Linked DNA regions of Neurospora crassa OR74A. Each later gene encodes a partner of the first gene's protein in a complex. Links are inferred from orthologs where the notes say so. Each region holds a gene or a part of one and is shown in the gene's direction. Other genes may lie near its edges. The genes, in order: NCU06485 and NCU02533.

The links.
Region 2: NCU06485 (region 1) and NCU02533 share a complex: the UniProt entries of both Saccharomyces cerevisiae proteins name them as parts of the RNA polymerase I (Pol I) complex. The link is inferred for Neurospora crassa OR74A from reciprocal best matches to the Saccharomyces cerevisiae genes RPA49 and RPC40.

What each region holds. Positions count from the first base shown.
Region 1 is NC_026503.1:1,579,105-1,589,579, reverse strand, and holds NCU06485 (hypothetical protein), read left to right. Parts: upstream 1-4,868; 5' UTR 4,869-4,941; coding exon 4,942-5,095; intron 5,096-5,168; coding exon 5,169-5,494; intron 5,495-5,547; coding exon 5,548-6,378; 3' UTR 6,379-6,902; downstream 6,903-10,475. Other genes in the region: stk-43 (serine/threonine protein kinase-43), read right to left, coding at 686-1,781, 1,857-2,144, 2,199-2,245, 2,299-2,493, 2,560-2,918, 3,021-3,084; NCU06484 (hypothetical protein), read left to right, coding at 9,333-10,475. UniProt on the Saccharomyces cerevisiae protein: DNA-dependent RNA polymerases catalyze the transcription of DNA into RNA using the four ribonucleoside triphosphates as substrates. Component of RNA polymerase I (Pol I) which synthesizes ribosomal RNA precursors.
Region 2 is NC_026501.1:2,643,554-2,653,516, reverse strand, and holds NCU02533 (DNA-directed RNA polymerase I and III polypeptide), read left to right. Parts: upstream 1-5,480; 5' UTR 5,481-5,589; coding exon 5,590-5,667; intron 5,668-5,758; coding exon 5,759-6,817; 3' UTR 6,818-7,177; downstream 7,178-9,963. Other genes in the region: NCU02535 (hypothetical protein), read left to right, coding at 305-1,906; nuo49 (NADH:ubiquinone oxidoreductase 49kD subunit), read right to left, coding at 2,680-2,696, 2,781-3,522, 3,681-4,358; NCU02532 (NEDD8-activating enzyme E1 catalytic subunit), read right to left, coding at 7,389-8,464, 8,523-8,602, 8,661-8,666, 8,748-8,849, 8,950-8,993; NCU02531 (hypothetical protein), read left to right, coding at 9,869-9,963. UniProt on the Saccharomyces cerevisiae protein: DNA-dependent RNA polymerases catalyze the transcription of DNA into RNA using the four ribonucleoside triphosphates as substrates.

The sequences.
Region 1 (10,475 bases):
CAAGAAATGCCGATGACCAGTTGACGAGGCCGCTTTCGTAAACTCATGAATGTGGGGAGCGGCTAGACCTTAGCAACACGTGCTGATTCAATGCAAGTTCCTCCGTTTCTTTGGATGTCTTCTCTTTGGGCACCTAGGACGACAAGATTGGGTTTGTGACATTGCATCATGCTTCCCAGACATCGGTTCTACCTATGTTTGAGGCAAGGCTCGTTGATTTCCGCACGTTAGTTTTGAGATATTACATCACGGGCGTGTATTGCCTCGACCGTCAAACGCTGGCAAGCCACCGAGCCATATCTCAAGAAGTCTCGTTCCTTTTCCCCTCTCGGATAGCATGCTTGTGCCTCAGAGATGTGGATGAATGGATGAATGGCTGACAAGTGCCTAACCAGGCCGCATGATGTCGTTAGGACTCAGCCTCAATTCAACTGAAACGCACATCCCCGCACCGCCGGGTCATCATCCATCCTTCGACAACGTACAAACGACTTGGGGAAAAACACATCAATCCACATCGCATCAAGTGCCTAACTTGACGAAAGCCACATGGATATCTATCACACATATGCTAACATGAAGCTTAGTCCCTACTATGTCAATAAGCGCCATCACACAGTTACAGAAGTATCATGGGTCGTCAGTCAAATGCCTGGATACTGAACATGTTATCGGCGGTCGGCGGTCAGACTGGACAAGTCCTCCGTCGTTTGCAGTCAGTCAGCTTGAACTCGTTCCGTCTTTTCTCTGCCTCTCGCAGATGAGCTAAAGTTGCTGCGGTTGCGGACGGTTCAGTCATCGATGCATCTTCCTTTGGACGCTCGTCGCTGTGCTGGTTGCTGTTCACTTTGCCATGGATAATTGATTCTTGTGAAAGTGGCGCCAAGGGCGAAGAAGAAAGTTCTGGCAAGTCTGGCGATGGTGGAGTAAACGTGAATGAGGGTAGAGGGGGACGATGTGCTCTGATACCGCCGGCCCCCCATCCTTCGTCCTCGGAGGGATGCGATGGGTCAGAGTCAATCCACAAACCTGGCTGGTGTTGTGGTCTTTGACTAGTCCGCCGGGTTTGAACTGTCAGCGGAGATGAAAACCAGCTTTTGGCGCTTAGTGGGTGATCTGTGTCTTCCTCTTCTCGTTGTTGATGGGCTGATGATAAGGTGTGACACGAAAGGAAAGGAGTCGGGTCCCTCTGAAAGTGTGGCGAAATCTTAGCACTGGCGTCTTCGTCTTCTTCCTCCTCCTCCCCCATAGGCTCTGCCGCCGTACCAAGTTCTTGTTCTCCATTCCCATTATGCGCATCAGTGGTCGCATCGAGCTTTTCGATGAAAGGAGCGAGCCGAATCTTCCTAGGCTCCCACGAAGCTGCATTATCGCCTTCAAGACGTCTGAAGAGACTGTCATCTTCCTCGGGCTCGCATATCCAGGGATGAGTAAGAGCTTGGCGCGCCGTGAGCCGGTGTTTGCTGTTGTAGGTGAGACATCCGCGAATGAAGTCCTTTGCATGGCTTGAGATGTTTTCATCTGGACGGAGGCGGGAGGTTTGAGGGTCAATGGGCTCATTGTCATTGCCGTAGTCTTCATCGCCATCTTGAACAGCAATGTCACAGCCGAGGTCATTGAGGATGATGTTGAGGTAGCGGTCGATTCTGTCTTGGCTGGTAAAATCGAGATGACGAAGATTCGGAAGTTCTTGGAATCCAGAGAAAAGCTGAAGGCAAAGCATCCCAATGGACCAGATGTCGACAGACAATGAATGACCTCGCTCGGAGTTATAGCATTCGCTGAATCAAGCGTTAGCATTGCTCTCAACAATCCAGTGACATATGTCAACCCAGGAGGGGAAGTGCGAAACTCACGGGGCGCGATAGAAGGTTGTTCCAACCTCGGACCTTAATCTTCCACGGTTCGTAACAGCCGAGTCCCCAAAATCGGAGAGAACAAGCCTGTAGGAGACATTTGGCGCTATGGCACAGAGAATATTCTCTGGCTTGATGTCTCGATGTGCGACCCCCTTGTTGTGGATGTAGTCAACAGCATTGAGGGTCTGGCGTATGATCCAGCGTATTTCTAGCTCGGGGAGTGCCCCCTCGCGTGATAGAAGTGAGAAGAGATCGCCACCAGTAGCCAGCTCTGTAAAGATATACCTAGAGATACATTAGTTGCCCAACCCTGCTAGCTGCTCGTGATGAAGGTCTTACACCGAATGCTCTGATTCGAAGGCAGCCTTGATGGAAAGAATATTCGGCTGACGACTTTTGTTAGCTTGATCCATCGTCCCGTGCCCTTTCAATGACTTACGTGATCGAGGTAGCTCAACAGCATTGCCTCCTGCTTGATCCGACGGAGTATCTGGTGTGACCGGGGCCGTCTATCTAAGTTGTGCACTTTGCAAGCCACCTGCTGCCCTGTCAAGACATCTGTGGCTAGGTAGACCACAGCATGGGCACCGTTTCCTAATGTGCGGTCTTCCACAAGGTATCGGTTCTCAAGGAGCTGGATGTTGCTAAGTCAGATCATGGCATGTTTTATTTTCGTCGCACGCCAAGATAACAATAGTACCTTGAGCTCCTCTCGCTGGCGTGCAGTGAGCCGCAAAAACGAAGTTCCCTGCTCGAGCTGAACGAACTTGAAAGTGATGTAAGGATATATGGAGATGACATCCCCATTCTGGAGTAGTCTTCCCGGAGTGATGTCTGGCTTCTTCCCAACGCACTTTTTGTTGAGCAGAGTCCCGTTGGAAGACTGTCGGTCTCGCACAAACACAAGTGATGTATGGCGACCTTCTTCGTCAACAGTGATAGAATACAGCTCAAAGTGGTTTCTTGAGACAGTGGAATCGACAAAGACAACGTCATTATTATCTCGGTCCGTGTCACGACCAATTCTGACTGTCTGGTTTGGCCAGATGTAAAAGCCGCCTGGACTTGCGACACGAAAGTTAGGGAGCACTGGTTGGAGGAGACCAGCGAGGGATACATCACAGTATTCACGATCACTTCAGGGAAATGACAGATACCTACCTCTTGTAGGAGGAGCAGTGCTAGTGTCTTCGAAGGAAACACTTGCCACAGGCGGTTGCGACATATCAAACCAGCTGTCAACACCGAGACACGGAAAACAAAGGATAATGATAATGATAAAGCCGGCAATGTCAACGTTCACTCATGTATGCGTTGATGTCGTCACTTGCGTCCGTAGATAGTGTTGACTATTCATGGCCCACCGTGGCTTTGCGTATTGAGAAGTAGAAGTAGGTAAAGGTTGGGAACGACACTCAGAGTTCAAGATCACAGGACGAGATTGGAAGAGTGAGTTGGTGCCTTGAGGATCGACTCCTCCTTCCCATGTCCAGCTATCGTGAAAATCTTTTTATGCAGACAGGTCGTGCCTTCCTTTGACCTGGACGGGTGCAGCTTGCAAGTGAAGTGAAAGTGCAGTGTCCATTAGTAGGAGCGGGAGGCAGGCTCGCTCGTTGGAGGACGAGACGGGAGTCGATCTCCGAGCCGAGCTTCTGATGCAGTCCAGCTGAAGCTCCCGTCCGTCAGCGGGAGCTTGGGCCACCTAGGGCAAAGGTCGCACCCCGCACGGACCGCATCCAAACAAAGAGCGGCAGGCCTGGGCAATTTGGGCCTGCGTCACCTGACTTACCCCACAGGGCTGCTTGCCCTGGAGCCCTATGAGATAAAAGTTCCCCCTCTCCATTCGCAAGTTGAAACTCTTTCCCATCACCAACAAGCAAAACTCATCTTTAAATCCAAGATGTACGCGCTCCCGCCCCCCAGCATTTGCTTGCCCGCCTACTGACATACAAGCAGTTCAAGATGAGAGCGAAGTGGAGAAAGAAGCGCGTGAGACGCCTTAAGCGCAAGAGAAGAAAGATGAGAGCGAGATCGTAAGTTTCACCATCGGCGCATCGACAGTTGATGCAGCTACAATCGCCACTCAGGAGCATATAAGCTGACTCGATCCCAGCAAATAAACGCCTCGCCTCACTCGACCCAATCAGCTCTTGACATTATCCTCTAAGCCATTAGACAACTTGGGCTCGGTGTCGACTCCTCCCCTCAGCGCGGAATGACGCCACATCGGTCGCTCTGAAACCTTGCGGTGATCAGGCGAACTCAGGGTTCCTACGGAACATGCACCCCTCGGGACATGCTGCACATCAAACTGTGGCACACATAGAACGGAACTGTTTGGTGGCGGATATGGTATTGGCTGGTTGCCTGTCAACTTCATGGTTGAGTAGCAACAAGGTGTTTACGGATCAACGCCGGTGGGAGCAAACTGTCTAGTTTGGAGACGCGAATTCGGGATACCCGTCGCAGCAACAATAAAGGCCGCTTCGCTTCATGATACACTTCTCTGCATCTGTGACAAACGGGACTGCATGTCTTGGATCAATTGTTTCTGTCGACAACATGGTCATCTGCCCTCGAACAGGTGACATGGCATTTGCACACAAAGGGAATACCAATTTTTGCAACATCAGTGAACATTTTCAACGACGGGGAAGGCAGTGGCCTGCATGCACGAGGGCATAGAAATCGCGTCCCAAGCCTTGGTTTGCCTTGTGACTTGGACTGAACCCCTCCATGTCTGGTTGATTGTTTTAGCACGCGTGCGGCTTGCTATTCTTCATCTCTCCAAGCAATTTAACAGCAAACCAATAGCAATTGATTTCATAGCATGAAGATTTCGCGCTTCGTAGTATTTCAACACAAATCATCAAACATATTGCATCGTCGTCATCAAATGTGGTGTGTCGATTGTAAAGGCGGTAACTGATACCGGACCCCGGCAGGCGGCAGAATTTTTTTCTGGCTGCGGGATCCACTCGGAAGTTCAGACAGCGACTCTCCAGCTGCATGATCCATTTGATTTGGCGGGACTTCACGACTCTACACTACCCCAGCACCTTTGTAGCCCGCAAACACCACCATGGGAAGCTCATCAGACAAGAAGCGCAAGAGCGCTGAGGATACAACACCCCAAATCAAGAAGAAGAAGGTCGACTCCGAGAAATCGTCCAAGTCGCCCAAGTTCATCAATGTCGGAGCTGTGAAGAGGCCGCAGTATGCGCCTCCGGTCGTGGGTAAGCACATGTTGATCGGCTGAAACCATGGCCGTCAAGTCCAATGGAGGAAGACTCTAACATGCGCTCCTAGCCGCGACCTCGGGACTCGCTCTCTCTTCGTCCATACAATTTCAAGCCTACGCCACACCAGCCGACAAGACCTCGAAGCGCAAGAAGAATGGCGCGCCCGCACAAGAGTTGCTGCTGCACTCTGCCAACCACCGGACGATGGACTACACAGCTCGCGAAGATAGGACAGGAGACTCGTCCGACCCATACCTGAAGCACTACATTGGCATCTTCAACCCCAAAACCGCCGAGGTTGAGATTGTAGAGGCGCGCAAGATGGTGCTCCGTGGCACAGTTAGGTCGCAGAAGGCGGTTGACGAGGCAATGGAAGAGAAGACTCAGAAACAGGTAAGCCTGGAAGTAGTGGTCAGGGGCATAAAACCAGACTGACGGTGCAACAGCAAATGATGGCCATGAGGAACGAGCTCGGCGAGGCATTCGGTACTAAGAAGGCGAAGAAGGCGATCCGCGACGTGACGGAGAACGCCATTACATCTCAAAAGGTTGGCCAGAGCGAGCTGGTGATGATGGACGCCATCAAGACCGCCACCAAGGACATGTCGACCAAGGAAGACCTTCAAGCCGCTGTCGACAACGCCCGACCGGTACCGCGCGGCAACTTCAATGCCGATGAAATCGCAGACGTCTACGTACCATCCCAAATTATCGGATCCGAGGTCCTGAACGCGATACCAGTGATGGATTGGCAGGAGAGCGTCAAGAACCTAGAAGACATCCAGGTACCTTCGCGCTTTGTCGCCAAGCGCGTTTCCAACGTAGCAAGCAGCGACGACGCGGTGCACAGATTGAGGGTACTGCGGTACCTCTTGTTCGTCATCATTTTCTGGAATGCCACCTCGCAAGGAAGGGAGCGTGGCACAAGAAGCATTGGTAAGAGGGATAAGCTGCGCGAGGTTATGGCACCAGCGCCCGAGATCGTGATTGAAAACATCCGCCGCAAGTTCTCGGACGGCGGAGTCATGCGCAAGACACACGTTGACCTTCTGATGACGCACTGCTGCGCATTTGCCGCCATCATCGACGGCTTCAGGGTCAACACGATTGACTTGAGAGAAGATCTGAAGCTGGAGCAGAAGCAGCTCAACCAATACTTTATCGAGATTGGAGCTCGCGTCAAGCAACAGAAGGTCGCTGACAAGATGGAGAACTTTGCCGTCCTGCAACTGCCTCTTCAGTTTCCCAAGATCAGACTGCCGGCACGGAAGAGGTAAACCACGCTTTGCTGAGCCGGACCCACGGCCACGGATCATATCATCAAGTTTAGTTGGATTGTGCGCATTGCACATCATCCACCCAGTCCTACATTGGACATCTTGGCGCTTACGTTTGGAAGTACCCTACGAAGTGCTGAGAAAAGGCATGCTTTTTGCGAGAGAAGCGATCATCCAGCTCAGTTGGAAGTCTGGCCGCTTCCAGCCTGTAACCACCATGGTGTGTTGTTGAGACACACCCAAGCGACACCCAGGCGCTGGCCAATCAAAATTCCAAGCGCCTAATCGAGAGGAGGCCATGACCTGTACCGCACTATTTGAGCATCTTGCCGAGGTATACATCAGTTATTTTGTGGTTCGGGCAGTAAAAGCTAGGCTAGAAAGCATATATCATTGTATAGACAATGTAGAGAATAGTCATGGAAATTGATGGGCCATAAGAAGTATGGCGGGAAGCTTGTCCCTCAGTCTTTATCAAGCTCTGAATGGGGTCAAAGAGATGACATTGAAATCTAGGAAAAGGGTCACCCCACAAAAAGCTGGCCCCCCTGGGTTCTGGTTCTCAAGTGCCTCAACGCTTGGCCAACCCCTTTGTGTTTGTTTACTACTGATATCCGCACGGACCCAATAACGAAGATGGGAACTGATGACGGGCTTCGAGATGAGTAATGGGGCAGAGATGATCATTAACCTGAACCAGCTAACGCCAGTTGATGTGCAAAATCAGAACCACGAACGTCAAGCTAACATATGTAACAGGAAGAATGTCCGCGGCAAATCCTACGCAGATATCAGAGCAGCCGACGGCCAGGCTAGAAGAAAACAAGATGAAAAGGTAGTTATATGGCTGCCCTGGATGGGCATCCGCCCAGGCGTCACCTTCTACCGTTGTCCCCTTTCGCTGGCCGCTGGCCGCTGGCCGCCCCGCGGTGTGAGACGCCGTCGGTGGTAGGTAGGGCTGGGCCGAAGCCGATCACCCCACGATGAAGTTCCTTCCCCTTGTGCCTCCCCAAAGCGTCCCCGACTTTGTCCGTCCTCCCCGTTTCCCCTGGCCCATTGCCTTGACCATCCCATCGTCCGTGTGCCGGCCGCTGCTTGTGCTTCCCCTCGCTCCAGTCCAGTCCCCTTAAGTTGGACCCCTTGGCGTTGTGCAGAGTGAAGGCGCTTGAGCCGCATTCGAAAGCCACGTGGGGAAAATCCCCACCGAGCGACCAGAGCCAGTGCAGTTTTCCTCACCGGCACCCACCCCGACCAGCTTAAATGGTATGACGACATTGCCTCTTTTAAAGAGCTTTTGGGATCTTCAACTGAGACGCGTCTCACTCTCAACGACCATTTTCCACAGATTATTTTGCTCTCTAAATTGCGGCTTCAATTTTGCATTTACACACTCAATGCACCTTTCCCAATGCTGTCTGATGTCTCTGCTTTCAATCTGAGCAGCCATTCTCTGCAATTTTGTGTTGGTGACAGCGACAATACGAGTGCTCAATTCACGACGCGTCAAAGTTGGGTCGACGGGCGAATTGTCGGGGCAGGGGGTACTTTGCGATTTTTTCTGAGGTGATTCGCAATGCCGGGGCTGGTGCCTGCAGCGCATGGACCAGCTTTTGTGGTCTCTGGGCGTGCTGATTGGCCAGGACGGTGCCAACCAGCGCCTTTCTTCCAGTTCCAGTTTCATTCCAGTTCACAGTTCCGCGAACGACCTACCTGGTAATGAAGGGAACGAACGCGACCGACCGACCGCTGACTGTCCACCTTCTTGCCTCCCGTCTGCCGCACCCCAGGCAGCTCACCACGCTCATTCACTCACCACCTCAACTCCAGTGACACTTCTTTCACGCCAGTCCTAGGTAGTCTTTGCCCCTGCTTCTGGCCTCCCTCCCGTCCTGCCTTCCTTCTGCACAACCTACCTACAATTCACGGCATCTGACCGACTGCACTCGATATCTCCCGCCGAGGTGAAGCTACTTATCCATCCAGCTTCGCGACTTTCAACTATAACGACTGGAGTTTGCTTCAAGTCCTCTCCTCTCGGGAAGTTATGCGCGCGCGCGAGAGGATTTGCACCACACTGCTGCCTCCCTTCACTACTACAACCTCTACATAACATACTAGCTCGGCACCAAGACCGGCACCGCAGTCCGACTTCAACTCCCCAGCGAGCAGTCTAGTCTAGTGCCGGGCGTGTGTTCGCGTGTGTGTGCGTGTCTGCTGCCGTGTGTGTGTGTGTGTATGCATATTGCATTACCCAAAGAAAAAAAAAAAGAAGCATCGTCGCATCAGTCGTCGCATTCTACCAAATCCTCCTACCTGCCCAGTGCCTCTCCTAGATGCCCTTCGACTCTCTGTCTGGCTCTACCTCAATTGCGCCCTTGGATAGGTTTTGCTCTGTCCAAACCTCAAGGCAACTTCGACCTGAACTAAAGTGCTCCGTCGATGCAGCGGTACATCCCACCTCCTGTTAGTCGTCAACCTGACAGCAAGGTGAGAGCCGACCGAGTGTTGACCCAATTTCACCCCCCCACGGCACCTAGGTCCATACCAGACAGAACATAAATCTGTATGTGGCTCTCTTTTTTTCTGGTTGTTCAGTTGCCTCTTTCCATCCCGTCCCTTTGCTCCCACTTCCCATTGCTTCCCTTGACCTGTTGACGCATCCTGTTTTGCTCTGCACGGCACACACGGACCTAACACGACTTATTCATGCAGGCTGCTAGATATTGAATAGCTGTTATCAATAAACATCGCATCGAAATAGCCAGTCGCAAGCTCAACAATTCACCAACCGCTAGCTTTTTGCCCCCATTCTCGCCATCGGACGGAATAGGCACCCCATCGGAATCCACCCTACTATTGTCCACCACCAACCCCAGTCCTATTCAGAGCTATTCGTTGCAGCACTTATTGGACCACATTATACCTAGCCGTTTTGCCCCCACCAACAATCTGCTATGTCTAAGCGTAAAAAGGACTTTCTCACGGATTTCGACCCTAACAAATCCGATCCCGAAGACGAAAACTTCGACCCCATTGCCGAAAAGCAACGAACCCCGCGAAGTGCAAGGAAGCAAGCAAACACCCGCCGCCCAAAGAACCGAGGCGCTGCTGGCGGCGCGCGCAGGCGGAACAGCCGATACAAAGGATCCGACATCGAAGACGACGAAGATATCAGCGACAGCGAACAAGACATCTCTTTCGGTGAAGAGGAAGACGAGGAAGAAGAAGAAGACTCGGACGCTCCTGTCAACGCTACGGGCAGGCGGATGCGCCAGGCTGCCGCACGACACCAATCGTACAGGGAAAGCAGTGAAGACGAAGACGGGATCCAGTCGTCTGACCAAGACAAAGACGTCGTCCAGGAGCCCGACGAAGAACATAGAGTGCCTTCGATAGAGTCTCCTGAACAGAGTCCCAGCAAAAAGAAGTCTCGCATCGTTGTGCTGAGTGTCAAAAAAGGCGCCAAGCCAAGCTCACAACGACCAAGACGTGGCGCTGCTGCCAAAGAACCAGCAACCATGGTTCCCCCGACCCGCCGCTCTACGAGAGCCCGCACGGAAGAGACGGACGAGCCATTGCTCGAGCTGTCCAACTCGGGAAGACATACCCGCGTCACCCGCGCATCAACAAGAAGTAAAAGCCCGGAAGCCTTGACCCACGCCACCAGAGCTACCCGTGGTTCCAAGGGTGTTAAGAAACAACAACCTCCACCCATTCCCGAAGCCTCGCATGAGGAAGATGACGACGAATTCAAGGTCGAGACGGATATACCCAATGCTGACGATGTGGACGAGCTGGCCGGTCAGGCGAACATGGTCGATGCGCCCGCTGACCATCCAGACGAACACCAAGAGGGAAGGGCTGAACAGGTGGCCGAGGAAGGAGCTGCCCAACAGGTTAGCGAAGAACAACCTGCACAGACCGAGAGCCAGCCAGCAGCAGAAGACGCAGACGGTGACGACGAAGACGATCGTCCGATTACTAGGCGGACTCGTGGGGCTAGAGCCGTCACATCTACCACAGCTGCCTCGACCACGACCACTGTCACAGCAGTTGAACCAGAGGGCGAAGGACTCAGGAGCCGCCTCAGGCGTGGG
Region 2 (9,963 bases), on another chromosome or scaffold:
ACTGCTCATCTTGAAAGGCTTCTCTTCGTCGGAGCCATTGAGTCCGCTCAATTCCGTCGCCTTAGGATTGACGACAAAGTTACAACAACCTCGCAGGACGCTTCAGAGGGTGACCGAAGCCGTGGTCAGGGCCAGTTGGCAGTTTTATTCATACAACGGTCCTGAACTTCAATGCAGTCTTCGTCGATATCTCTACGTATCAATACCGCTCAATCAACCATAGCTCTGGTTCACTTTCAACTGCGGCTTAGCCAGGCCCAGTTGACACGAGATTTCCGTGCAAGCAGCTCAAGTCAACAGAGGGATGTGTATCCAAGAGTACATTGCCTACCAGTGTGGGCACCGAACACCGGGTGTCGTTCGCCCGTGCCCCCTGACCACCGCAGGACACAACTTCCCCATCTGCACCATCCGGCCGTCAAAGCAACACCTGGCACAAACCATGTGCGGCCCTTGCGAAAGACTCCTACACTCACGATGGGTACTTATTCGGGAGTGGGAGCATCGCTGGCTCCATGAGCGTGGAGTTTGCGGCTGTGATGTGGTCTTCCCCGGCCTTCTGACCCGACCTCGCGTGATTGGCAACGTCCTAGGTCCAGAGGAAGACTTCACTGAAGGGGCCCGAGACGACACAATCGGACATTGTGGATCTGCTCCCACTCCCTATGATCCAACGGAGGTAGAGGAGGCACTACAACAAGGCAATACAGGAACAGGAACTTACCACATTCCGCCCATATTCACCGAGACCGCTACCGGCGATCAGCAGCGTGTTGCCATCCGCTTGCCCAGCTTGTACGCGGCCGAGTGGCTAGCTGATCACCGCGCTCTCCACGACAGCGGAAGATGCCAGTGTCCGGTCCGTTTTACGCCCTTTCAGCCTGACGTGGGAGAATATGACATGATCACCGGGGAACGGGAGTATCTCCAGGAATACCGCCAGACTGAGAGCCGCAATAGGGCCATAAACAAGGGTGAGGAGGAAATTACTTTACGGATGGCCCAGATCAATGATACGTTTGGAACTTTTGATCCTGCTGCTGCTGCGTCATCACCCCCGGCCAAACCGAAACCTCCTCTTGTATCTAATTTACCTCCGACCGGCCCTCGTCATACCAGAGCTCGCTCGCATCACCGCCAGAGCCACTGCCTTCATCATCAGCAGGAGCATTTTCATCAAGGACAGGGACATCACCACAGCCAGCCAAGGCATGCCACTTCGGTGACTTTGGCGAACACCTCCGTGCCTTTCCCCCAGGGGCGGTCTTGTGATCCGGCAGCACAGCACCAGCAGCGACCGGAGCTTTTCGGCCTGGCAGATCAGCCAGGGCAGCTCTCTATCCGTTCGTCGTCCCACGCCGTCGCCTCGGTCTACGGCAACCATGAACAACACGTTTACGGACCACACACCTTCGTACCAATGGGCATTGTTTTCCCCGATCATTGTGACCACGAGCCCGAGACTCAGGATGGACCGCAACAGCTTCAGCAACATTGTCAGGAACTTCATTCCCTAACCAGTCGTTCCTCTCCGCCACCGTGTCTTCCATTCCCATTTCCATACTGCGGTCTGCCCGTCGGCTCCGGACCAGAGGGCAGTGAAGTACACATGCCTAATTGGGAGGATTGTCAGTTGAGAAGATGCAAGTCGAGCTTCCAATCTGAATCTGAACCTGGACCTGGACCTGAACCTCGTTCTAGAGCTGGGGTGGTTTCGAGCGAGGTTCAAGCTGAGACTAATAAGGTTGGGACCGATACTGAAACCAATAACGGAAACGGAAACGGAACCGGCATCGCGAATGATGCTGAAGGTGGTTGTGGGGCTCAAGTTGATCACGCCGAGCAATACCAGCAACACCGTACAAGTTTGGGAAGAGGACACCAGCGGAGCTCATCGTACTCCTGAGCGGGATTAAGGATTCCTCATCTTGAGTCCTTGGACTGGTGAGTCGCCATCCCATCGCTTCCATGACTTGTTTCGAAGATGTGAATTCCCTGGGACTTTTATGAGAGTGGCCCAATTGTGAAGCTAACAATACAGAGGACAGCGAACCACGAAAACAACAAATTCTCAGCGCGCAGTATGACGGCGGGATGGAGATTATCAAAGTCGACAGAGAGCGAGTGTTCGCTCCGCGACAATGTTCGACGGCAGCCAGTCCAGTGGCGGCTGAGAAGTTATTGTAACAACAAGCAGTCGTCGCGTTGCCTTTTTCATATCTCGTCTCACAGCACCACACAACCATGCACATCAAGGACTGGCACAACTAACACCAACACCACAGAAAATGTTGAAGAAGAAGGACGTGGATGATGTGTTGCACACAACTCAACGACGAAAGACCAAAGCATGGCATCCCTTCACTTCAGTCTCTCTTTTAAAGACCCGATGACTGAATTGGCTATTCTTCTTCTGTTGCTGGTCTAGTCTGCATCTATCTATGTTTCCTGTTCCGTTTTTGCCAGGGGATAAGAGAAGAAGTCAAAACGTCCCACCTTTATCAGCAAAACCCAAAGTACTGTTTCTCCTTTAGGCGTTCTTTAAAGGTAAAACATCGCGCGCGGCCTGCTTATCCGCTCATTTCAATATCTGCAGTTGCTGTGCTTCATTCATCAAAAAAAAAATATCCCATGCGTTGCGTTCCATGTCACAAAGTTTGCAGCCGGAGAGCTTCAACATTACCGATCGACCTCACCTGGAAGTAGGAATAAAAGGGTTAGCTACCAAACCACTTGGAATTTTAAAGAAGAGAGTTTCACACAATGAGAATCAAACTTACCAAACACCAAATCCATTGTGCCGATAACGGCCACGGCATCAGCCAACATGTGGCCCCTCGACAAGTGGTCAAAGCCACCCAGATGAGCAAAGCCGGGAGCGCGGATGTGCACACGATACGGCCTCTCGGAACCATCACTGACGACATAGACGCCCATTTCGCCCTTGGGGGCCTCGATGGCCGAGTAGGTGTCACCGGGCGGGACGGCATAGCCCTTGGTGTACAGCAAGAAGTGGTGGATGAGGGCCTCCATGTTCTCCTTCATGGCGGAGCGGGGCGGCGGGGAGATCTTGTAGTCTTCGACACGGACGGGACCAGCGGGCATCTTGTTAAGGCACTGGTGGATGATACGGAGTGACTGACGGAACTCCTCCATGCGGCACAGGTACCGGTCGTAGCAGTCGCCGTTGATGCCAACGGGAACGTCAAACTCGACTTGGTCGTATGCGTCGTACGGCTGACTCTTACGGATGTCCCATGGCACGCCGGAACCGCGGAGCATGACGCCCGTGAAGGACAGGTTCAGGGCGTCGGCGGCAGAGACTACACCGATGCCGCGCAGACGGTCTATCCAGATACGGTTGTCCGTAAGCATCTCCTCGGTTTCGTCGATGCGGTCGCCGAACTGCGTGGCCCACATGTAAATGTCATCGAGCAGGCCGAGAGGGATATCTTGGTGGACACCTCCGGGGCGGACGTAGGCAGCATGGAGACGGGCACCAGAGACTCGCTCGTAGAATTCCTAAGGTTTTTCACATATTAGATTGAGCTGCTGGGGTTGGGTGCGTGCTGCATTGGTATTCCCAGGTCCTTTCGCGTAGAGTTTCGCGCATTGGTTTTTAATATACCCATCTGATAGAGACCGCCGATATTTAACGAAAAATACGAATCAACACTCACCATCAATTTCTCTCTTTCCTCAAAGCCCCACAAGAAAGGCGTGAGAGCGCCGACGTCCATGGCGTGCGACAAAACAGACATGAGATGGTTGAGAATACGGGTAATCTCAGCGAACATTGTACGAATCCACTTGGCACGCTCGGGGATCTCAACGTTGAGCAGCTTCTCAACGGCCAGAGCAAAACATTGCTCGTTGGTCATCATGGAGACGTAGTCAAGACGGTCAAAGTAAGGGAGCGCCTGAAGGTAGGTCCTGTACTCGCAGAGCTTCTCGGTGCCGCGATGCAGCAGGCCGACGTGGGGGTCGGCACGAACAATCTCTTCACCCTTTAGCTCGAGAATCAGGCGCAACACACCGTGAGCGGCCGGATGCTGAGGACCGAAGTTGACCGTGTAGTGCCGCACCTTGCGGGCCAGGATATGATCCTGGGGAGGCACTCTCGGGGCACCGTCTGCCTTCAAAGCCTCCAAGCCATACAGATCGTTGTTGGGCGCAAAGTCGTCGCCGGTAGGGACCAGACGGGTTCCTTGGCCCTCGTAGCTGGGCTCGGCATACCGTCTGAGAGCGGAGGCAGAAAAGGCGCGAGTCGAGTTGAGGTTGTGAGCGATGGTGGTGCTCTGGCGCATACAATGGCGCTTGGCATTGCGCCCAGCGAGTCGGAACAACGTCGTCGCCATTGTTGTTTGTGGGACTGCCGCTTGCTTTGGGTCGCTCAGAAGGTCAGGGAACGGAGATGGATAGATTCGCAGGATTGACAGCGACGGAGGACAAAGGGGAGGAGGTTCGCCGCTGGATGTGGCCTCTTCTCCGGCGGTTCAATGGCTCGCAGTGAGCTTGCGATTTCTAGTGATAGCAGTAATAAGGTGGTGGTGGAGATGCTTCAGTTGACGTCCAGTCGACTTTCCCTGACCACGGCCGCAGCAACGCCCCAGCTTCGAACTCCTCAAATCGTTGCCGTCAGTTGGTCAGTGAATTTCAACCCAATCAAAGGCCATCAGTTGAGCAGTCAGAGACCAAGCTTCTTCTGGTACAACGTTCCCCCCACGGCGGGCAAGCTCCCGTCTCGACTGTTGCCGGCCAAGGCGTTTATCCGGCAGCCGTGCCGCCAAGCGGTCCCATGGAGGGCAGCCGCGCTATATGCCATCTGATTGGCTGGTTGTAGAAGCCTCGGTCCTTCGCCAGGCAGTCTCGAGGCAGTGTAAGTCGGAATTTGGGCATTTTAGGGAGAGGTTTTCGCAGAAAGGAAGAGGAGGATGGAAGAGCATGTCCACACTTATAACAATGACCACAGAGATTCCAAGATGTGCTGGAGTTAAGAGTGGAGTTAGTCAACATGTCACTTACTCGCGACAAACCTCGATGTGGACATGGAATATGAAGCCCCGATGTCTTTCCCTCGCCGAAGCTACAAAATTGTGGATTTGGAATTGATACTCCCGACATGCAAGTATATCTAGGTAGTTGAAGTATCTCCCATCATACCTGCGCAGCCCTTTGCAAGTGAAGATCTAGCGTTCTCTCTTCGCCTCAGGTTTCGTCGATGGTCGAAGTCGACGGTAACCTGACAGAGGTTATGGCCCGCCATGTACCCTGTTGGCCTTGTCCCAGTCATTGCGGTCCTGTCCACAATTGTCTCCGCCGAGGCCCATGAGCATCAAGTTGAGCCAGGCAGTCCCTGAACCTCTCCGCCACTGCCTGCAGCACGATAAGATCTCAGCCAACCAATCAACCGCATTCCCGCGAAGGCGGTCAAAAAGTTCCCGTTCGTGGGAAAAATTCTGCCGCTCCATCGCCCGTCGCACAGCGCAGAGCTCTCTTTCCCAAGATTTTGCCCGGCGTGCCGACCTGCGTGTGAAAGCGAGAGGGTAACCCCGCCAACCTAGAGCATTATTTACACATATCGTCGCAATGGGATCCTCAAAGAAGCAGACCGCCGTGCCCGTCAGGACAAAGGTCCCGAGCCCAGAAGAGGTTGAGAAGCGTAACGTACGTCAATCACTGGCTTGCCGCCCATCATCATCAGTCGAGGCTGCGCAGCGCATGCAACGCGGAAACTGATGGCATTTTTCTTCTGCAGACTGTCCATATCAACGCCGAAACTGTCACCAATGTCACATCCACCGACTTTCCCGGCTTCTACCCCGGCGAGGATCATTCCTGGGATATCGAAAAGTTCCGCGAAAGTGTCCGCGTAGTGTTCCACCAGAACGACCCTTATGAGGCTCAATTCTCGCTCATTGGCGTCGACGCCTCTATCGCCAATGCCTTCCGCCGTATCATGATTGCCGACATCCCCACGCTGGCCATTGAGGACATTTTCATGTGGAACAACACCTCCGTGATCCAGGACGAAGTTCTTGGCCACCGCCTGGGCCTGATCCCGTTCACCGGCGGCAAGGAAGGCCTCCATAACTTCCTCAAGTGGTACAAGAAGGGCGAGACCCCGTGCGACTACAACACGGTCGAGCTCGAGCTCAAGGTCAAGTGCGAGAACAACGAGAGCGCGCCGGCAGACAGCAAGGACCCCAAGGAGCTCTACCACAACGCCCATGTTTACGCTAAGGACATCAAGTTCGTGCCCAAGGGCCGGCAAGCCAAGTACTTCTCGGGCGAGAACGCCATCCGGCCCACGAACCCTGACATCCTCGTCGCCAAGATGCGGCCGGGACAGGAGATCGATCTGACGATGCACATGCACAAGGGCGTCGGGTCCGATCACGCCAAGTTCTCCCCCGTCGCCACGGCCTCGTACCGCCTCATGCCGACCATCACCATTCTCGAGCCGATCCTAGGCCGCGACGCCGAGAAATTCCAGAAGTGCTTCCCCGAGGGCGTCATCGGGCTGGAAAAGGTCACCAAGGAGGAGGCGAAGAAGAAGGGCAGCGGATACGAGGGCCATGAGGGCGAGCTCAAGGCCGTGGTCCTGGACGCCATGCGTGACACCGTCAGCAGAGAGTGCTTGCGCCATGACGAGTTCAAGGACAAGGTCAAGCTGGGCCGAAGGAGGGATCACTTCATTTACCTGGTGGAGAGCACGGGGCAGTGGGAAAGCGACGCCATCTTCCTCGAATCGATTGCCCACCTCAAGGAGAAGGCGAAGAGGTTCGAGAAGCAGGTGGTGAACATGGTACAGTAAACATTGTACCAGGGGTAGGAGGATTCAAAATAGCACGAAGAAGAGGTGAGGTTATTTCTATGTACGGTGGTTGAGACAGAATTTGAGCGATCATGATGTGGAATCACACAGGGAAAGAGGAAAAATCACACGGATTAGGTCGTGAGGATACCCATCTCTCTTGTAACCATATAAAAGAACATTGGAACGGCGTCATGGAGGCTAGGGATTGGTGGCCAGCTTTAGTTTAATGGTTTCTGCTTGTTAATTATCATAGACATGTCGGTGCACATGAGTCATGAACCACACTGTCTTGCATAAACACAGTACCCCTCATTTGACATGATGTCTTTTGGTTACGTACTGCGTAGCATATTGTTGAAGCACATTGTTAATCATATCTTGTATTCACATCTAATTAATTGCAAAGGAAGTTAACTCATCGCTATAGCCATCTTGCGGGTCATTCCCCGCTGCTTGTTGTGCAACGCTCCCGCTCGTAGGTAATTTACAAATCTAGTCCCTAAATAGCATGAACAAAGTCCAGGCAAACCAGGCCAGGCCATCATGACACGTTCATGTCTGGGGACCATCATGCAAACTTGAGGCTGAAGTTGAACACCACGCCTACAAACGCTGGATCAGTAACGGCGAGCTCAGTACCTTCCGTCAGCCCAAGCTGCTCAAGTGTCTTCTCCAAGTTTGGCCGCGTCTGCTCCTCCAAGTTCGGGGGCAACTGCATGTACAGCGTCTTGCCCTCAGCCCGCACCGACGGCTTCTTCAGTTGCGCCTCAGGAAGGGTAGCAAACGACTCTATGAGCTCTTCGAGTGTCCACTTGGGGTTGACCTTGAGCACCCTTGCCGTCATGCCGCACACGGGGCAGTCCTCCTTTTGCTCGTGCTTAAACGTATACGTGTAAATGCTGTCGTTGCCGGAATACATCATATAATTAGGCTCGCCTTCGCCGGGGGTGCCCAAAAAGGGTGCACAGCTGGATGCGATCTTGAGTGCCTCGTTGCAGCAGGCCGCGGCGATGACCGAGTTCGTGGCCGCGATGGCCGGGATGATGTTCTTCACCACGCCTTGCGTCAGAGAGTACGTGACGCCCGATATGTTGAATTCCTTTGCCCGCTCGAGGGCTTTCTGGTAGAGCCAGGTGATGTGCTCCGGGTCGTCCTTGTCGAGCTGCGGGAACGGCTTCTCCTTGTCCCAAGCGATGACGTGCGCCCATTCGATGCAGTGCTCCGGCTGGCGGGGGATGCTGGCGAGAGTGCAAAGAGGAACGGCGGCTCGGGGAGCGTGCATGTCTAGCTGGCACTCGATACAAGAGCCCATGGTCGGTAGAATAACGCGGGCTTGGCCCTTGAAGCCCTCGGTGCCGCCGTCGATGAGAGGTTTCATGCTATCAGGGTTTTCACAACTCGCCATGTTGACCAGGGTGGCGTTGATCCATCGGCGTGCCTCGATGCTGTCCAGTCCGCAGACTACAATCTGGAACTGCTGGTAGAAGTCTTCATCGAAGTCCTGTATCTTGCAGTTATATGGCGTGATCTTGACGCCTTTGACTCTTCTCTCAACGAACTTGGCAGCTACTTCGGCTTTGAATTTCCCTACGTCCGCGTGACGGAAGAGAAACTGGCGGTTAAGGTTGGAGATGTCGATCGTATCTAGACTTCCAGGTCAGCTATCATTGACATGTCGATATATCTATAGAGGACAACCGACCCATGTCGATGACGGAAATGTCCTTGAACCCGGAAAGGGCGAGGTTCTTGAGGATCTCACAACCCAGTCCTCCAGCTCCGCTACCTTGCCGTCAGTTCTCATAACCATGACCCGTCAAATCATTAAGCTGAGACTAACATGACTCTGGAAAAGTTATCAGCTTCTGCTTGAATAATTTGATATACGCATACACTTGATGTACTGCCAATTAAAAGGATAACTTACAAGATCTTGATTTTGTTCATGTTCTCTACTACCGTTGAGCCATCAAACTCTTCCGGATCCACGAATGCGCCTGGCCGTGTTCGGACATTGTTGAGATACTTCCTATGGTAAAGGTGGCGTGTTAGCTGTTGGGACTCATGCCCTGAAGATATGAAATCCAGGGGGTGTTCTTGGGTCGCGATCGAGAGCGCGTAACACCTACCATCTTTTGGCTTCGGAGTCTGGGAGTACTTCTGGACTTGACATGACTAGTTTATGGCTACAAGAGGAGACTTCGCTGGTGAGATAATTAAGGGGGAGGCCGGCGGGTAGGATGAGAAATGCTAGTGATAATATTTGCTGATTAGTCGCGGCTCACAAATTGTTGCAGGTTGAATGTACAATCCGAGGGGTGAGTTGACGGGACAACAAACAAACGGAACTGGAGGAGGGAAGCTTCCATAGTTCCACTTGCGGGCGGGCCCGGACTTCAGGTTCGGAGATGGTGAGTGGATAGCTCCTGCCGCCCCGTTAAAGGAGACCCTGTAGGTTACCAACAGCGGCAACGGAGAGTGCCCGAAAGTGCAGTTCAGGGCCGCTACAGGGAAGGGACGACTGCCTGCACAACGGATCAGTTAGCACTTAGCAGCAACACCGACGCTACGTATCATCCCCTGTTGCTTTCCGTTTGACGCAGATAACTACGTACACTCAGTGAAATGTCGTCGATACGAAACGGAATTTCCACTTTCCTTCCAATTCGTTCCGTCCTCTTTCGATCGGTCAAACGATAGGTAACGTTCCGGGGTGTGAATTTCACTTCAAGCCCAGCCTGTGTATTTCAAAGTCCTCATCACCAACTGACATCATTACAGATATCTGAGATGAACGGCCTCTTGACGCCCATCAGCACCTCCCGCCTGAGTGCGAGCCCCAACGAACCTCTGCTCCAGGAAGTTGGCCTCAGAAAGGAAACAGTAAAGCCGAACCAATCTCCTGGTCAGAGGCCCTTGAACTCGCCCGAGGAAGCCCTCGAAGTTTTACGACATGAACCTAACTACGACCAGCTCGTCGCTACTTTGCGATTCCTCAGCCATGAGGATTTAGCCGGGTCCACATTCAGCATCAAGGAACCAAGTCCTATGACCGCAAAGCTAGTTCAGGTGCTGGTGTCAGAAATCGTCCCGAACTATTGGACTCTGCTAAACGAAGACTCCCATGAAACCAAGTCTTCGGC